2 linked regions of the Alligator mississippiensis genome follow. The protein of the gene in region 2 purifies or fractionates together with the protein of the main gene of each other region. This does not show direct contact. Links are inferred from orthologs where the notes say so. Each region holds a gene or a part of one and is shown on either strand. Other genes may lie near its edges. The genes, in order: FGFR2 and RPS6KA3.

Region 1 (9,967 bases), on a different chromosome or scaffold from region 2:
TTGCAGAACCCCAGAGTAGCCTGGCACCCTGGTTTATAATCACTGCTTTATATTAAAGAACAAGGTCCCTTTCCTAGGACTAATCTAGAAAACAAAATATTGCTTTTTGACATTTCCACTTCACAAATGAGCAAGCCACATAATATCTCATGCATAATGGCTGCTGACAGAGATGACAAAAAAGTGCTTTACCAGAAGAGGCAGCACATCAGTTCAACCTGGCTCCACAGCATCTGTATAGATCATATACTTCATGAGGACTTTTTGACACTTTTATCTAATAGCTGATTCAATCAGCTATTAGATAGAAATGCCAAAAAAGCTCCACTGAAGTACCTGATTTATACAGATGTTGGGTGAGCTGGGTTCAACTAATGTGACACCTCTTCTGGGCATGAACTGGGCTTGGCTTGGGGGTGCGCTGAATTTAAAGTGCGATTTTTTTGAGGGTGGGGGTGGTTTAAGTGTGTAAGCAGCCAACATGACTAAAGTAGACTCATGGCTTAAGTAGAGGAGAACAAGTTTAAGGGTTAATCAGACTTGCTTGTAGAAGTAATAAACTTCTGTATCATAGAGTTTGTATCACAGGAAATGCTAGAACCATCACAGATTACCAGAAAGCAGTTTCTTATCTATCAGCTAATTCCAGAGCATTAAAACAAGAGTCATCATTCATATACAACCCAATTAAATTTGACAATTCACAGCTAGTGTATACATTCACTCACCACTGTCATTAATAAGAGAGGAAAAAAAAGTAAACGGACATTTTAAACAGGGGTTTCATGTGTCTTCATATTTTCCCTGTAGAAACACCCAACAGTGTACATGAAGCTGGTCATGACAACTGTATGAGAAAAACCAACAGAAAGTGGAGTGTTTGTCCTAAGAGGTAATAAGATGACTGATTAGATACACACAGAGGAAGAATCATGATTTTCACTTTAGAGTCTAAAGAATTATACTTCTATGGGCATGGGCGACTGGTGCCTCCTGAGTCTGGGGGGCACCAGATCACCGATGAGGGGGGTGTCTCCCATGGCCAATTGCCGACCCCCAGCAGCCGACTCTGAACCAGGAGCAGGGGTGGCCCCCCAGCAGCCAATTGCCAAGCCAGCAGCAAAACTGGAAGTGAACTTCTGCTGGCACTTCCGGTTTTGTGGCTGGTGCTTCCAGGGAGTGCACGGCTGATCTCAGGGGGTGCACATGCACACACATGCACCCCTTTGCATTGCCACTGTTTATAGGAAGAAAAAAATACATATAACAATCAGGCCTTTTCTGTCAAAAATTTCCCTCCCCACATAATTGTAACCTAACAATGCTGTAAGCCACCTGGGCACAAAACAGGTTTCCAGACATTCAGTAACATACTGTGTTTTTCAACTCTGTTCTTTCCAACCATCAAGTTGCTCATGGCTCCAAGGACTATTCTGGTGTTTAGCACTTGGTGGAGTGTAAAAATACTGCAGCCAAAGTCTACATTACAGCAGCTATAGTGACTTTCAGAAAGTGTATGTATATACTACATGACACAGAAAGTCAAGGAAGTCAAAAAAACCTCATGCCCTAAATAACTTGCAGAAACTAGCATTAAATCGTTTTGCATTCCTCTGAATCTTAAACACATGGACAAATTTTGCAATAGGAAAATATGTTCACAGTTAAGATGCCTTCCATGACTACAAACATTTTCTGCAGGAGGATGAACAGAATGGAGTTCTGAAGTATATTGGACTATGCTACTTTATCCAGGACATATCCTAGTGACCTACTGTCCACCATGATACCTTACTAAGATCCAACCTGGGATCCAACCTCCTATATGAGAAAGATGGAAGAAAAGGGTGACAGAAAGCTTTAGAGGAGTTTGTGGTGTATTCCTTCTAAGTGAGGAACATTTAAGTTCACAGAGAGGCAATTAGGGAAAATGGGAAGGGGGAAGGGGTGATCACAAACACTACAAATTGGGAAATCTATTTTCACCACAAGTATACCGTATTTATTTGCCCATTTCTTCATGTAAGAGGTTTAACTAAACCATAAGTGAAAGATTCAAGCCATCATGGAAAGTGATACTTCACTATAACATCTTAAACCTAGTATTTTAATGGATTTTTCAGGCCAGAAGTTTCAATTCAGTCATCTAATTTGACCTCCTGCATAACACAACCCAAAAAACTTCTTCCAGTAGCTGCCACCTCAACTAACTTCTGGTCAAGCTGTCTCTTTCAGAAAAATGTTAAATCTAGATTTAACACTTTAAGCAACAGAGAATCCTTCCCCTCCCTATATAAACTGTTCCAGTAGTCAATTATCCTAACAGGAATATGAACCTTATTCCTCATTCCTACTCCAATTTTATTCCAAATTCCTATTCTAAGTTTGACCAACTTTAGTTTTCTTATGTCTTTTCAATGCTACTGAGCCATTTACTATCACAAGTCTCTTTCCTGTGTAGGTACCTTTTAGACCACAATCAAAGTACTTTGTCAAAGGGCTGGTCTGCACAGAAACATGTGACATAGTCTGATGTCCACTAAGGGTGTCCTCAAAGAGTTAGTTCAATGTATCCTGTGCACTGTAGATTCATACCATAGCTTACTGTACCCAAGTTTCCTTACATAGGCAGCTTTTAGACAAACTCAACAAATTGAGCTTCTTTAGTTGTCACTGTAAGGCAGGTTTCCCAGGACCCAGATCACTGTGGTAACTCTTTACTGAAACCTTTCCAATTTGCCAATACTCTTTTTAAAATGAAACCACACTTGGACAGGTTTCTGGCAGCTGTCTCACTGATGTCATGTACAGCAGTACTATCACTTTCCTACTTCTGCCTCCCCATGTTTTATCTCCAAAAAGTGTTTTAGCTCTCTCAGGCACCAGATTGTAACTGCAGCTGGTTGTCTACCATGACTCTATGTTCCAGTCGGAGTTGCTGCTTTTTGAAATACCATCTCCCCTCCTGTTTGTATGACTTTAACACCCAGGAGCAAATAATATAATTATGCCTCTAACTCCATCTATACATGTATGAGTGAAATACCTCAGCAACACTTTTTTTTAAACTAAATTGTCCAGTACCCTTATAAGGAAGAAAAGTATTATTCTCATCCTGAAGTTAAGGAAACAAACACAGGGTTATGGCTTGTCCAAGGCCACCCAGCAAATGTAAGACGGCTTCAGAAATAAACCAAAGTAGTTCCCGGCTTCCAGTACAGTGCTCAACCCAGTGCTGTTACTAAAGGATTTGTCCATCTGGAACTTGCACAGAAAAACAATATCAAACCCACATTTTCCTTGCATTTCCCACTGCTCAGCTAATAAAATAAAACACATAGCATAAAGTATGATTAAATCAAAATGCTAAGGCAAAACACTGTGGCACGAGATATACATGCAAGCAGCTGTTTTCACCATGAGCATAACATACAAACTGATGTACGGTATGCAGTTATGAATCGGCAGGAAAATGTGCTACAAAGATGCTGTTCCTATGATTGTCTATACATTGCAGTACAGAGGACGTCTATTGCGTTTGGCAGAGAAAATTTCCAAATAAAGTGTACGGTACCTGATTGCTTTTTTCCATTCGATATGCGAAGGCTAAAGGAATGCAACACACCAAGGCAGGCAAAGCATGGCTTCAATAGGTGTGTCTAGGTGTCTCTTGCATGTTGCAGCTTGACAGTTCTCTCCTATTGTGTGGGTGGCATTCATACAAAGAGGCTGACTTGTAACTCAGAAATGATATCACAATGCAAAGTTAACTCACTGAGTGCCTTAAGATGAACTGTACACCACAGAGTAATGCTCTGCAAAACAATACTTTCAAGCCATCTCCCTGTATATATTGCAGCAATCGAATTTACAACAATGTTTACTGATTAACATATGAAAAGCCCCCAGATTCTCGGGTGAAGGGTAGGGAGAGGCCTCTGGATTTCTGCAAGGAAAGAGGTAGTTGATTTTTGAGGGTTAGATCTTGGCTACAGTGGGGGTTAAGGTATGGCCATCTGCATAGCCATACTAATGGGCTCAAGGACAGATATGATCTGCATCCCCAGAATTAACCTCTCCTTGAAACCAGGATAAGGTTTACTGATGAAAGCAGAATCTTTACTTGGAGTATATACCAGTGTACATATACCGTATTGTAAATTGTACATACCTTGGATTGTTATTATTGCATGCTGCAACTAGAAGTTGACCCCAAGTTAAGCAAGGTCTTGCTGCTGCAATCCTTTTGTTTTAAACCAAGAAGGACAATGGATATGTTCGGTTGTAAGCGCCCCAGTTACATATTGATTTTTATATAATCAACATTCTTGACAAAGCTGCATTTTGTTTTCATGCTCTGCTCTTTATTATCAAACAATATAAAAAAGTAAACATGTTTTGGCTCTCTCCAAGGGAGCTACGACTTCAAAATTTCCACATTTTCTGGTCCATGTTATTTAAAAAAGATGTGCGTCTTGGCCCAGCACTGTGACGAATGAAAGACTGAGACACATTTATAGAGGGAAAAAGAGACAGAACTGAGAGATCCAGCAGCTCTGAGAATTAGTAGAGATGCTGGGTGAGATGCTTTGTTGCACTTCTAAGAATTCACGGCCGGTGGAAAAGGGTTGTTCCAGGCACGTTCCAGTGGGTAGGAGAGGTCCTTGGCATACTTTGCACCCCCCACAGGCATTTATCTATATTACAGGAGCCACTACAAGCACTACTCAGAACCAGAACCATGCTGCATACTGCAGCCCCAGCTTGAACATACATTTCTGTCTCCAGTGTGTTTCCCTCTATCTTGCCAGCCCAGCATGTGAAAAAGTCCTCTAAGAGCAGCCTTAATTAAGGGTGTCTTTCATAGTGCCTACACTGAGACAAATCCTCACCGCAACTAAAATCTTGGCTGTTAGGGCCACTTTGTATAACTTTAGACCCTTTAATATGACAAAGTGTTTAAAGTGGAGCAGAGGATCTCACCCACTGAGCTTTTCCTCTCTCAGTCATTTTGAATCCAGCCCAGGATCAATAATCACAAACCATTGTTACTTTCCAAGCCATTCCTGCTGAGTAGCTTATGTCATGAAATAAAGTGGCACTTCCACTCCAGATCCCAGTGGACAGACGGTCAACAAGAGAAGACAAATCTGGGTAATACTCCCCAGTGACAGGTGGTCAATGTGATGTGGCTGAGAAAAAGAGGCAATAGAAGATGTATCAAATGGTGGATTTTCAGCAGAAACAAAGACCTATTAATGCCAAGGCACTGATGGGGCCTCATCTAGACTGCCATGTGTGATTTTGGGTACTCGTGTTCAGGAAAATAAACTCAAGCTGGGACAGGTGCAGAGAAGGGTTCCTAGGATGCTGGGGCTTAAGGAGAATCTGCCATATGAGGGGAAAACAAAAGTGCCTGCCTTGTTCATCTTAGCAAAATGAGAACTGTAAAGGGATACAACTGTTTTCTGTTACTACATCGGGGATAAGGACTACACAGTCAGAATAAATGGACTAGGACTAAATTTAGCTGGAGACCAGAAGAAGGTTTCAAACCATTAGAGAAGAAGGTTTCAGACTGAAAGAGCCTGCCAGTATGAGGTGTGGAAACAAGATATCCATCCAGTTTTAGAGATGTACAAAAGGAACTGCATGGCGTAGTTTGCCTGTGATAGCAGGACTGGACTTGGACTCAGAGGAACTTTTCCTGTTATCTCTTCCTGTGAATGAATAGGCATGAAAACCAAACTGTGGCCATCTCCGCTCCTTTGCAGAACAGTCTTCTGGACAGGACCTGGTACTTTGGTAATGTCAGGAAGTATAGCATACACCTTGCCCTGATGGACCTGCTCCATAAATAAACAGAGGAGTTCAATTGCCAGCAGGTAATACAGACACACACACGCACATCTATATCTATATCTATATCTAGTGTTATATATAATGGATGTCTGTTTGAGAAAACAAGAATCCAAAGGGTTAAGCCAAGGAATAAGGAAAGTTAGAATTAATCAATTTCTAAGCAAATTATTAAAATATTATTATGGATACATTATTAATCCTATATCTGGTAAGATGTTTCCAGCAAAACCTCTGCTAGAAATAGAGATATTTTGATGCTTTTATTGCTGCTGTAGCCCATCCAAGATGATGTGTTTGATTCAAGAGTCACAAAAACATATTCTTGTTAAAAATGCTGCCAAAAAAACTAAATGAAAACAGTACACTGTTGAATCCCCATGTTTGCAACATTACCGGGTCTTTTTTTTTTTTTTCCTCCAATCGTGTTTATATAGACTAAGTTTCATTTAACAAGGCAAAAGTTGGAGCTCTCACATACTACATTATGTCTCTGCAGGTCCTCCTAACTAGGGTTAAGTCTTTACACCACTTCCAAGAGAAGCAGCCAAGAAAAAGAAGAAATAAATGCTACTACTACTGAGTACAGAGGCCTCCTTTTCAAGAAATGTGATTTATGGAATGAAGTTCCTGGCATGTCTGCCATGGGCTGTCACAACGTGTGTTTAAAATCCAAGTCTGAAATATGATCCCTGTTCCTTCCAAAATGCATTGTGGCTTCTAGCAAGTTCTTTTGAAAATCCTAAGCAATCGTTTTCTCGGGAGTCTGTATTCTTTATGCTCATTGCCTTGTGAAGGGCATATTAATCCAATCTTTGCTTTTTGAATGCTACTCGGGACATTTCCAGAGAAAGGGTGTTATCCCTTATAATTTCATGTGAGTTTAGTGCTTGCAAAGACTGCTTTCCTGAAAGCCCCAAAGACTGAACGTCTTTTCTTGTTGTCCAGAGGACTGAAAAAACTTTGACCAGTGCACAGCAAACCTCTCCATCCTGCCCCACCAGCCACACTCAGACCAGACACAGGGGGCACCCTCTACATGTCTTACCCTCCATTTTCAATCACTCCTGAGCTTTTCAGCTGCCTGCTGTTGCGTATTACACATCTGTCAACTGAAAATTGGCCTGAGACCAAAGTCAGGTTATGTAAACTGCAAATATCTGTCAGACGATAACAACTTCACTAGATAATCACTAGATAAGTGATTCTCAAACTGGGCAACAAGAAAAACTTTGAGAGGGAACATGTGAGGAAGAAATGGGAAAGCAAAGAGGGGAAAGAGAAAATAAATGAAGGACAAGGGAGGGGGCAGGAAAAAAAAATCAATTCTACAATATCTCTCATGTTGCTCTTATGTTACAGTGTGGTTATTATAGTGACATAAAATGTTATGTCATCTTATTATTATTATTATTATTATTATTATTATTATCCATAGCATGGAATTGGGGGCATGTAGAACAAACTTAAAAAAAAAGGGGGTATGTGACTAAAAAATTTGAGAATCATTAACTTAGTACCACTTTTGGGAACCATCAAACTATCCTCTCTCTTTTATTAGGAGCATTTTTTTTTTTAAATAATCTCAACCTTTTCCACAATACATTTCAAATCCAAAACATAATTTATTTTTCACAACCTTCCACTCCATGGATATTTTCAGAAACTCGTGTCTAGTATTTGTGAGATGCTGGAAGTTGCAGAGGCTCATTATATACTTTGTACTACAGCAACATCCAGAGACTCCATCAGGATCATGTCCCTCTTATTCTACACTCTACAAGCCACAGAAAGATGGCTCTGAAGAGTTCATGTCATTTTTTGGCTGATTTCCCGTGGATGATGCAACATAAGCTATCTCAATTTTGGACTGAAGGAGGACAAGAACAGTGGTTTTGTGAATTAGTTGAAGGAGGATGTCGTGGAAGGAAATACAAAGACACTTGTGGAACATGAATACATTTATTTTCTGACTTAAACTCCAGCATCTTATTCATAAGTAGCAGCACACTTAGGAGATCTGACTCAAGTGTAGAATCAGATGAAGGGGTATTTTCTAAGATGAATAATTAATTGAAATAATAATTCTGAAAAATGCAAAAGTATGTACAGCTTTAGACAAACCAAGGAGAAAAGGTGACCAAGGGGTTTCTATTTATTCAGTAGGTTTTGGACCTGGCTTCATTTAAACCACAAAACCATTTTGAAACTCATGCTATTCTTCATTCTTCTCTTCCCTTTTTTACAGTAGGCATTTTTCCCACAAATATCTTAAAGAGCATATACACCATGATCCAGCTCCCAATGAGATCAGTGGGAATTTTGCCACCATCTTCACTGTGGGTCTGATCCTATTCCCATTATATTGGCTTGTCCAATGGTAATCGAAGACAGAGTATTATTGTTTGCCCTCAGTGCCCACAACAGGTGAGAAATATTCCAAACACAAAGATCCCACTTTGTGTCCCCAAAATCTCCACAGATCCTGGAAAAAAAATACTTTAAATGAATGCACTCAAAGGAACTGTTACAACTGTTCTTTATTAAAGATTATCCCACATGAGGCTCTGCTGACTATAATTGTGGATGAAATCCTGGTTCTGTCCAAGTTAACAGGAGTTTTGCAATTAACTTTTTTTGGTGACATATTGTTACCTTGTGCCTTCAGTGTTAATGTCTCTGGCTTTTTATTAAAAAGTGTTCTGATAGTGAGCCAAGGCATAGTGAAGGTCATTCATGGCACTACCATCCCACACACTTATCTTCAGGTTTTTTGGAAAATTTTCTGAATCAAAACCAAACAGAAAAAAACAATATAGAGCAGTGCTTTTCAAGCTGTAGTGTGTGGACCCCTGATGGTCTGCAGACTATGTATAAGTGGTTCATGAAAGATAACTATGATCAATCAAAAGTATGTGAATACCCAAATTTACAATTCAAATGGGTCTACACCTCCATTCAAAAGTTTTTAGGGGTCTGCAAATGAAGCAAGCTCAAAAAACACTCTTATAGAGGAATGGATACATATGGCCTGTATGACATAACTAATAGGGCTGTGCAAAGCTTCGGTCCCTGATTCGATTTGTTGGAGATTCGGCCCAATTCAGTGGCTGAATCTCCAAATCCAAATCAAATCAGGAGACCCTTTAAACTCTCTGAATCAAATCATAGTTTCATAGTAGGCAGGGTCAGAAGGGACCTGAACAGATCATCAAGTCCGACCCCCTGCCCTGAGCAGGAAAGAGTGCTGGGGTCAAACGACCCCGGCTAGGTGATTATCTAGCCTCCTTTTGAAGGCCCCCAGGGTAGGAGCGAGCAGCACTTCCCTTGGAAGTTGGTTCCAGATCCTAGCCACCCTGACTATGAAGTAGTGCCTCCTGATGTAGTAGTGCCTGCATCTATCCTCAGTCAACTTATGGCCACTGGCCGTCAATTCGGAGAGATTCAGAAAGATTCAGCAATTCGGATATAGACACAGCTTTAAAGGTTTTTTCTGCATACCTCAAGATACCAGGTATGTACACAACATTTAAAGCTGTATCTATGGCCGAATCGCCAGTTCTCCGAATCAGCATCAAATCTTCAGATTCAGATTCAGCCTAATCGAATTGGGATCAGTGATTTGAATCAATGAATTGAATCACTGTCCCTGATTCAGGCCAAATCTGAATCAAATATGACCCATTTTGCGCACCCCTAATAACTAATATAGCTTGTTTATCTCTGTTTATGAAAGATTTCTAAACTAATTGTTAAGATTGAATATTTAATTACTAGCAGTGACTTGATTTACTTAAATAAATCTGCAGTTTCTTCCAAACATCAAACCAGTACATAGTCATGGGCGACTAGTGTGGCCTTAGTTGGGGGGAGGGGGGCACGTGCCTCCCGAGCGACCAGTCAGCAACTGAGGGGATCCCCCTGTGGCCAATCCCACTGACTGGGGGGGGTTCCCCCCCCAGACGATCATGAGATGGCTGATCATTGTGGCTGCTTCCGGGAACACAATGGTGCTCCACTTCCCAGCTGGCACTTGCAGAGGGGACACCAGCGCTCCCACCTGCCCCTGCTGCAGATTGCCTAAGTGGTGAGCGCAGCCGGTCAGGGG
Region 2 (9,361 bases):
TAGGTATACACATTTGACCTACCCATGTACAGAAAGGAGACATGTGCTAGAGACAGGTATGCTGTGCTGAGCCTATATTTTATTGAGCTGCATATTTCCATTTGGGATATAGAAACCACAGGCAGGATGTTTCCTGCTAGTTGCTTGACCACAGATAAAATTTCAAACCAATAAATATCATGGGGCCCAAACCATCATGAATCATTCCAGTTCTGTGCCAGCATTTACAAGTCCATGTGATCTAATGTCTTTACATCAGTAAAAACTAGAAAAACTCAGTGGTGAGTCAGGCACCATGTTTTTATTATAGGTATACTTTAGGAGTATCCTTCTAGTTATCATACCACATTTTCATATATTAACATAATCAGAATTTCATAGAAAAGTAACCATTAAAAGAAATTCAGTGGAGAGGGGAATGAGAGAAAAAGAGAAATATCCATATAGCCTACTCTAGGCACATCTGCCCACATTCCAATGCAATTCTGTCAAGAGGTGTATAACAGTACAAGTATTCTTTAGCAGAAGTGTATAAATACTTTCATCTTTTTATATTGTCAGTTACAAGTGATGTTCATTTCAAACCTGAGTCATTTTAGTGCAGCTATAACCTTGTTTTCAAAGCTGAGTGAATAGATACAGGGATGGATACACCCAGCTGTAATTTAATGTCATGGGTTTCAAATTGAGGATCTGCCTTTCAGCACCAAGATTCTGCTTGCTGCTCCTCATCGCTGAGGTTTCTGACAACTTTCCAAACGTTAATAACCATAACCTTGCAACATCCCTATGAGACAGGGAAGTATCATCCCCATTGTATCCACCTTAGAACTGAGGCACAAAGAGAGACTAATTCTCATTTCCACCAAGGCCCCTAAAAACTGCTGTGACAGCATAAATTTAAATCCCTCTAACTCTCACTTCAAGACACACTGTTAAGAGCAGCCTAAAGCAGCTTTAATGTAAATGAGAAACTGGGTTAAGAAAAAAAATAATGACTTGCCTCATATCACAAAGGACAACTGTGCATAAGAATTGAATCAAGGTGTCCTGAGAGTAAGACAGACTTCCCCAAACAGTGTAAATCTAATAGAGTCTATTGTCAACTTCCACTTCAATCCTTTTAGCATTTTTCCCATAGAAACAAATTTATTCCCAGCTTTCATCCACAGACTATGGAATGATAATTTCTGTACATTTAAATTCTATCAAGAGTTTCTTGCCTGAGATAATAAAAACCATTGAAAGATATTTGAATTCACTATACATCACTCCAGTTGCAATATCTGAACAACTGAAATTTATTTAGTATTGTAATTTATTTACTTCTTCCTGTCTTACACTTACGAAGCTGTAAGTTATGATGGAGTATGAACTGTAGTGCAACTACAGTTGCATCTAGTGTAGTACTATATGCTTTATAAAAAAGTAAGTTTGAGTGATTACTCTATAAATACTGGAGGAACTTTTCTATTTATATTTTTTAATGTATTTTCCCAAATATTATCACAGGAACCCCCAAAAATATATTCTCTTTAACAGCCTTGTGAGAGAGTCAAGAAGTGTTTTATAAATGTAGCACTATGCTCAGTGGAGGCAGGCTTCTAACCAGGGTGCAATAACCTGAAGTTTTGCCTTTGACTGTAATGAAACTATAATTTCATCCCAGTCTCTCTCTTCCTCCTTGGAGGTACGGCTAGAGTTTTCCAACAAAGACCTCCTTGAATTTATATGTAACTATTATGCTCATTGGTTTTGTTTAAAATATTACTATAAATGAGAATACAAACCACCCTATTCATAGCAGATGTAGCACTAAACATCACCAAAGTGTCAATACTGCCTTACTGCAGTATTCTGTGTCACTGACCATCAGTTAGGTCCCACTCCTTCATCTGCAAGAGTAGAAATAGACAAGTGAGCCATCTAGCAAGTCACTGCCTACCCTCAGTGCAAGATGGCATTGTAGCTTTACTATGGCTGAAGTACCAAAAATGGTGAAGACTTGGTACTTTACATCACGTTGCAATTAATGTTTCTTACATGAAGGTAACCGTACCAGAATACTACCATTTCCATTCCATGGTATTTTCTACATAATACTTGTGAACGCCTCTATGTCAAAATAAAGTACCTAAATTATACAAGGGAGGGAGATGAGGTAGGTAGAGAATGTGACTTACATCATTCTGCTTCTTGTTTGTTGTTGCAGCAGGTAATTTCAGTCTCATAAACTTGCAAATAGTGGTAGTTAGTTGTACTTTCTGCCTTAAAATTGCAAAGAATGGGTGGACAGAAATGTGTTCAAATGAAATGGCAACTGAATATACTTTATAAAAATGGTCTGTGTGAATACAATGCTGTTGCAGATTTTTGCATCAAGAACTGGACCAACAGTAATGAGGTAAGGTGATGGTTTAAATGGCTGTTGTTGCACTGATCTTGTGAGAAAACAATCAAGGCATGATATATAGTTCTGTATTGTTTATTGCTGTTATACCCATTAGTACTTGATATCCTGTTCTTTGTCTTTTTTCTTCTGGATTCACAAAGCATAGAAAAAAGTAAACATGTTGGTAAACCACTGTCTTAGGACACAACTGACTAGACATGCTACTCTCCTCCCTCTCCTTCCTCCTACCCAGACCTCCTTCAAATTGTGAGCTCAGTTTAGGCCAGATGCCAATGGAAGAGGGGAAATGCCAAAGTGTATAGGAGACTGTCAACTCTACATGGCAAGATAGTCTTTGCTAGTTGATCAGCCTGAAAGAGGGGTTGGGTTTTTTTTAGGTTTCACCACATATGAGCTGAGGTGGCAGCTGTAGCTCCTGCTAACTTTTCTCTCATGGGTTGGAATTCTCTGCTGTGTGGCTGTGGATTTCCAGTATAAATAAAGTATTTACACCAGTATAAATAAATATTTACACCAGTATAAATAAAGTAGCTGTAATAAACCAAATTATTCCAGTATATAGGAAAAGAAATGCCTTTCAATAATACATTTAAAACTAGGGAGGGAGGAGTTTGCTCGCTTTTTGAAGATACAGGTGTTATCTCACCCTGGAGATGGGAAGTATTTATTTGTGTTTCAAAGATATTTACAATCACTCTATATTTCAACAGTCTACTCACTGTTCCAGTAGCCAACCTTAAAAAGGAAGGCTTGAGATTGTTAGTGTTCTGGTCAGTTTCTAAGAAACATTCCTCATGATGTACCTAAGCTTAATTACTGTCAAACATTAGTGATTTATTTCTCTTTTCCATTACCTTATCCTGTACTTCAGAGCAATAGTTGGCCAGAGTCAGTCTCTTCCTATTCTAAAAGCAGGGTTCTAGGCAGAAATAAGGGTTTTGTTCGTTAACAAAAATAATCTAATTCTTGTCTGCTTTAGACCTTTCCATAGTCACTTACTTGTGTGTGAAGGCAAAGCATTTGAAAAATGCTACCAAATAGAAGTGTAAGCACATTATACTCAGTATGGTCATATCAGGCCGCATAATCAGCTAAAAGTCAAAGATTATTTTAAGCTGAAGTTGATAGTCAGGGGATAAAACATGTGTGACATCCATTCCCTACACCCTATGAAAATCTGGGAAGACTTTTAAATAACTTGAACTTGCTGGAAATAAACTACTAGTTAAAGTGTAATATTGTTGATCAAATTGTCGTTCAAAGCATTTTTTTCTTTTAAAAATTACTTGTCATTACTCTCATTTCCCTCCCCTTTATTTGCCTAATCAGTAATCACCATTTCCTTCTATCTAGTGATATCTTTTCCTCCCAGTCCTTCCTTTACTCTAACTGCACAATATTTTTCACTTGACTCTTCTCTTAAAAACCCCTTCTTGTCTCTTCCTCTTACATTTGCCTAAGCTTTGGCTGAGTATGCAAGCTGTCTAAGGAGAGTCTAGGAATTTCTAGGTTGTCTATATTAGGATTTTCTGCACTGGTTGTGCAGAAGAGCATAGATGTGTAAGCAAAGGTGTATGAATTGGCTACAAGTGCTACATGATCACAGATGTGTCTGTTACTGTCAGCCAAAGCACAGTTAGTAGAAGTGCTGAACAAAGTTTGCAAAGCCTAGAAACACAGGACTGATTTAATCAGGGGCTGAGTCATCAGAGATATGACTGACATCAAAGCAGGCTTGGGGACAGTCATTTACACAGGAGGCTTAAATGGGAATCAATGGCAATTAGCCACGATTGTTCTCAGGCAAAGTTCTAATTCGGACACTTCTCAGGCACTTAATGCTGGACATTGAGTTTGGTTGACTATCATGTTTGGATCTGACCTGGCACAAAAATACTCTGATACAAATCAACCCAGTTGTGTGTTTTAGCCCAAGAGGAGGATTACAGGCACCAAAGGGGTCTTTTACACAGGAAGCTATTCCTGATGGACTTACTTTATAGAGGTGCCTTTTCCAGAAAAGAAGAGGACCCACACAGGGAATTAACCAGGAAGAGCTACTTCACTTCAAACCTATGCCCTCCCTTAGTCCCAGTAAGCTTCACTGTGCAGAGGAGCCATTAGCTTTCCTGAGGAAATCTTGTGGAGGTAAGAACCAGTCACTCAGAAGCAACACAAGGGGTCTGACTGACTTGCTCCCTGCAAAGGCTGACCAAAAACATCCACTCCCCACAATGACGGCAGGCAGAGAAGTTCACAGCTGACCTGGGGCTCTAGCTGTGCCCCTTATGGATCTGGCTACTCCACCCAGTTGTGGGCTCACATCAGCAAATTGGGCCACAGAGAAAGAAACACAGTCAGCAAATGGAAATATCTCTAGTGCTCCGTTTGGACAAGGCAAGGCTGCTGTCTGTGCCCCCCTACCTACATGCCTCTGAGCATAGGCTTAGGCTGCGCTAATGCTGGGAGTTTTAACGCTTTTTTCTCTGAAAGTGTGGTGTTAGAGGGGTGTCATGGTAGCTTCCAAGGGGTGTCACGGTAGTGTTAAGGGTGGTGTCGGAGGGGGGTCATGGTATCATCATGGTAGTGTTGGAGGGGTGTGATGGTAGCATAAGGGAGGTGGCAGAGGGGTGTCATGGTAGTGTCATGGTAGCATTAGAGGGGTGTCATGATAGTGTAAGGGGAGTGCTGGAGGGGTGTCACAGTAGCCTAAGGGTAGTGGCAACTCTGATGGCCCACAAATGACTTGAGGAGAGGCAACGTCCGGCAGGCTGCCTGTCTTTTGCCCAACCGGACTGACTAGGAGTAACAACTACCAGGCGACTTTAAGGACCGCCCCAGGCGGGGCTGGGCGGAACCGGACACACTCGGACCCTGCGCGAGCGGTGTGCACACAGCCAGCAACGCCTCTCCCCGCCCCCACAGGACGCCCCGGGCCCCTCCCCCCACCCCCGCCCACGCAGGAACGGAACTCCCCCCGCCCCCCTACTGCCCGCCACTGACTCCGCCCCCCGCTACCTGCCGGCGTCGCGGATTGGCCGCTACAGCCCCGCCCCGCTGCTGACGTGCACAGCCTCGGTTTGACGGGCAGGTATGGCCCGGGCGCCATGTTGGTGAGCGGGAGCGGGAGCGGGAGCGGAAGCGGTGCGGGGGGAGGGCGGCTCTGCCTGGCAGGAGCGGGACGCGGCGGTAGCAGTGGGACCCGCAGCCGGGGCCGGGGCAGCCCGCGGTCTTGCCCGCTCCTCCCCTGCCGTGTCTTCGTGCTCGGCCGGTTGGGAGCCGGGGCGCGCGGGCGGGCGGGAAGATGCCGCTGGCGCAGCTGGCGGACCCCTGGCAGAAGATGGCTGTGGAGAGCGCGGCCGAGAGCGGAGCCGAGGTACCGCCCCCCCCTTGTGTCCGTGTGTGTCCCGCTCCCCTCCTCTTTCTCTTGACCCTGCGCCCGCACTTCCCGCCGGGCCCCCGCGCCGGACGAGGGGGAGCGCCCCTTGCCGCCAGCCCGTGGGGAGTGGGGCCGCGCGGACTTAGTAACGTGAAGCCGCGGGGCTGGGGCTGGGGCCGGGGCCGGGGCCGGGCGGCGCTGGAGGTGCCCCTATTCTGCCTCGCGCCCAGACTTGGCGGCGCTCCAAGCCCTTCCGGCTCGGGAGGCTGGGGAGAGGTTTCTCCCCCGGCTCGCCGCTGTCCTTGGGTTACTTCAGAGGAGACGGCTTCGTTGGCTGGCAGGCGGATCTGCTGTTCCCGTTTCTCAAGCCTAGTTTAAAGTACCTGTCTGTCACTCTCGGGGTGTTTTCTCCCCGCACGGGAGTGGGGTAAAATTTTCCAGCTGAAAGGTAACTGCTGGGAGCGCTGGGGAAACCGCTCTTTATGTCTGGTGAAGACTTAGAGTTGGTGAAGAGTCGTTTTAATCTCCCTCGTGTAGGGTGGTCCTTTTGACTGGAAACCAGTTTGCCTCTAGCATATATGTGAAATTTGTGGGCATATTTTAGAAACGCACCTTGCAAAAGGAGAACAAGGTTCTTTGGGTGAATCTGATATCTTTTATTAAACCAAGTGTGTGTGTGTGTGTGTGTGTGTGTGTGTAATAAAACTTTTACAAAAGGATACATTATATATCTACACACACACGTAATATGTACATGTATATAAAATCAGTTTTAAAGGCCAATGGGACTATACTGATTTGCAACAATGGAGAAGATTTAGTATACTAAATTTATTTCTAGTATTCCATCTTTTAAAATTGCTACCCCGTAATTTCATATTATATTAATTGTCAAGACTTGTATGTATATACGTACATACATGTGTGTGTATATGTACAAATGTATCCTTTTGTAAGAGTTGTTTCTAGAACTTGCCCACATCCTCAATCCTAAATTCAAAATATGCTCTGTTTTTAAAGATTTGACATTCTTCTCTTTTTTTAATAGAAAATGCCTGTAACAATTCCTTGAATTCAGTATATCCTGCTGTTTCTTGACTTGATTGATTGATTGATTGATTTTCCAAATGCTCAGGTTAATCAAGGACCTCAACCAGTGACCTAAATACTTACTCCATGTTTTCAGTTCCCACAAATTAACCTTTATCAGGGGCACTGTGCACTTCTAATTGCAGCATCAGAGCCATGGTCAAGGCTTCTACGTGAAAAACATAAGAAGTGCCATACTAGGCCACTAGCCTGTCTCCAACACTGGCAAAAGCTGATGCCTTAGAGCAGTAGTTGTCAACCCCAGGTGCCACAGGAAGTATAGGAAGATAAGCAGGTAAGGGCAGGCTGAGGCCCTCCCTGCGTGGCTGTTCCCCCCACCTCGATTGCATGGCCCTGCTGCAAGGACATAAACACTGTAATAAATACACTAGTTTTTGAAATGGTGTGCTGCAAAATTCTTGAAGCTATGAGGGTTGCCTCAAGTGTAGCAGGGTTGGGAGCCACTCCTTTAGAGCAGCGGTTTTCAACCTTTTTTTTGTTGTACCAGGACCCATTTGTAAATATCAATGGCCTGTCCCGACCTAGTGCTTCTCACTCCTGACCCACTAGCCCCAGCCCCCCAGTGTGTGGGGCAAGGGGGTGGGGTGGGGGCCCCAAGCAGCCCTTTGCAGGCTATAACTCTGGCAGCCTGCAAGGGGAATGCCACCATTATTCACACTTTTCTCCTTTAAAGGAAAATAATTTTTAAAGTTTGTTCATGACCCTTTCATATATTCTTGTGACCCCTTTTGAGTAATGCTGCTTTAGAGGAAGAATGAACTGGGCATATCTAGAGTGATCCATGCCCTATTCATCACACTCCCTAGCATCCACCATCCTTGGTTTAGAGATGCCAGAGGATCCATCTCTGACTGCTCTGTTTAACAGCTATTAATAGATTTATTGTCCATGAATTTTTGATCCTGCCTGAGCTGTATGCCTCTACAAACTTGTGGTAGATTTTTGGCCCCTGTGGAGCAACATTATGATTTGGCCTCTGTAGAGGTACATGAACTCTCTCATTAACAACTTTTGTAAAACACCACTGATGTCTCAATAAACTTACTATTTCATAGAGATGCACTAAGTCCTAAAGTATTCAGGTCTGGACATTTGTACTGATAGAGGTCCCTGCGGTATAAACTGATTCATGCAGGCCAAGGTGCTGTTCCAATGAATTAGTAATAGCAGACCTTTCTCTTGCTTTAAATTATACCATTACTGTGGATAGTGGTTCTTCTTCTAAGAGGAAATATATACAACTGAAAAAGCTTGCAATACAAGCATAAATTTATACAGTATCAAAGATGAACTCCTAGGTTGATTTTTTTTCTACAGCAAGTAATAAAGCAGGGCGCACTGATCTTGTTTATGGTCTTGGCGGCTATATGATATGAAATTCTGGGGTAGCAATTTTTAAAGAAGCGCTATTAGAAATAATTTGGTATACTAAATGTTCTCCATTGTTGCAAATCAGTATAGTCCCATTAGCCTTCAAAGCTGTGATAATTGACATCACCTTAGGTTTTGCCTCAAGTTCCTTAACTGGTATCTGTCTTAAAAAGCAGGGTTTATAGTGCAGATGCTGCATGTGTGAAATAGGCAAAGTGGTAAAAAACTTCAAATATTGGCATATAACTATAGGCATGTAAGTTCATATTTTAGAAACCTTATTTTTTCAGAAACATTATGCTTCTAGCATTGGTCTTTACTAGCCAACATCAGGGGTTTAAATATGGGTTTGTGTGTCTAGCTGTGTGTGTCACTGAGGTTATGAATACTAAAGCAACTGAGATGAAGAGGAACAGTCATAGCATTGTTATGTTAAAGATGTACCTGGTATGGTGTGGTTCTGGTGCTTATGGCTCTGTCTTGCTAATATTTGTGCGTGTCTTTAACTTGAAATTTGGTCGTGCTGAAAGCAAGGTTGATTCAATGCACTGACAGGATTGGGTCTGGGATTGATGACAGGATTGCCATCTGAAGTAGTCATGTTCTGGGTGTAATTACCTCTGAACTTATTTTGCATATGGTGTACTTCTGGGGAATAAGCTGAAGGAACAGACATCACATCTGCAACACAACTTAAAGCAGGGGAAAGGACAGAAAATATCAGTAGAATTGTCTAAATGAAATGTGTCTGTTAACTTTGAAGGTTATTCAATACTTTACCAGCTGGGTATGATACTAAGGGTTTTCAAAACACTGTTGTCAGTACATTTACCATAGCTCTAGAAGTTTGTTCCCATGTGATATTTGTGGAGTTTGCTTCTTGCATACAGATTTATGTCAAATGAAACTTCTTTTAGTGTGGTTCGCTTCACTTTATTATAATAATTTTCTGTATATTATACATCAGTAATCTGATGCATAATATATAGTATACATCTATTCCAGTGAGATGAGCTTGTTGAAGAAAGGCTTATGGATTTTGATTCTATCAGTAAAACAGATGTCATAGCTATGTGAATGCTGGTTTA

The links.
Region 1: the proteins of RPS6KA3 (region 2) and FGFR2 purify together in Homo sapiens (affinity purification with mass spectrometry; 3 studies listed by BioGRID and IntAct, counting the BioPlex papers as one, with this or other methods). This does not show direct contact. The link is inferred for Alligator mississippiensis from reciprocal best matches to the Homo sapiens genes RPS6KA3 and FGFR2.

What each region holds. Positions count from the first base shown.
Region 1 is NC_081829.1:85,690,163-85,700,129, reverse strand, and holds the start of FGFR2 (fibroblast growth factor receptor 2), read right to left. Parts: upstream 3,660-9,967; 5' UTR 3,575-3,659; intron 1-3,574. UniProt on the Homo sapiens protein: Tyrosine-protein kinase that acts as a cell-surface receptor for fibroblast growth factors and plays an essential role in the regulation of cell proliferation, differentiation, migration and apoptosis, and in the regulation of embryonic development.
Region 2 is NC_081824.1:318,754,499-318,763,859, forward strand, and holds the start of RPS6KA3 (ribosomal protein S6 kinase alpha-3), read left to right. Parts: upstream 1-5,550; 5' UTR 5,551-5,717; coding exon 5,718-5,789; intron 5,790-9,361. UniProt on the Homo sapiens protein: Serine/threonine-protein kinase that acts downstream of ERK (MAPK1/ERK2 and MAPK3/ERK1) signaling and mediates mitogenic and stress-induced activation of the transcription factors CREB1, ETV1/ER81 and NR4A1/NUR77, regulates translation through RPS6 and EIF4B phosphorylation, and mediates cellular proliferation, survival, and differentiation by modulating mTOR signaling and repressing pro-apoptotic function of BAD and DAPK1.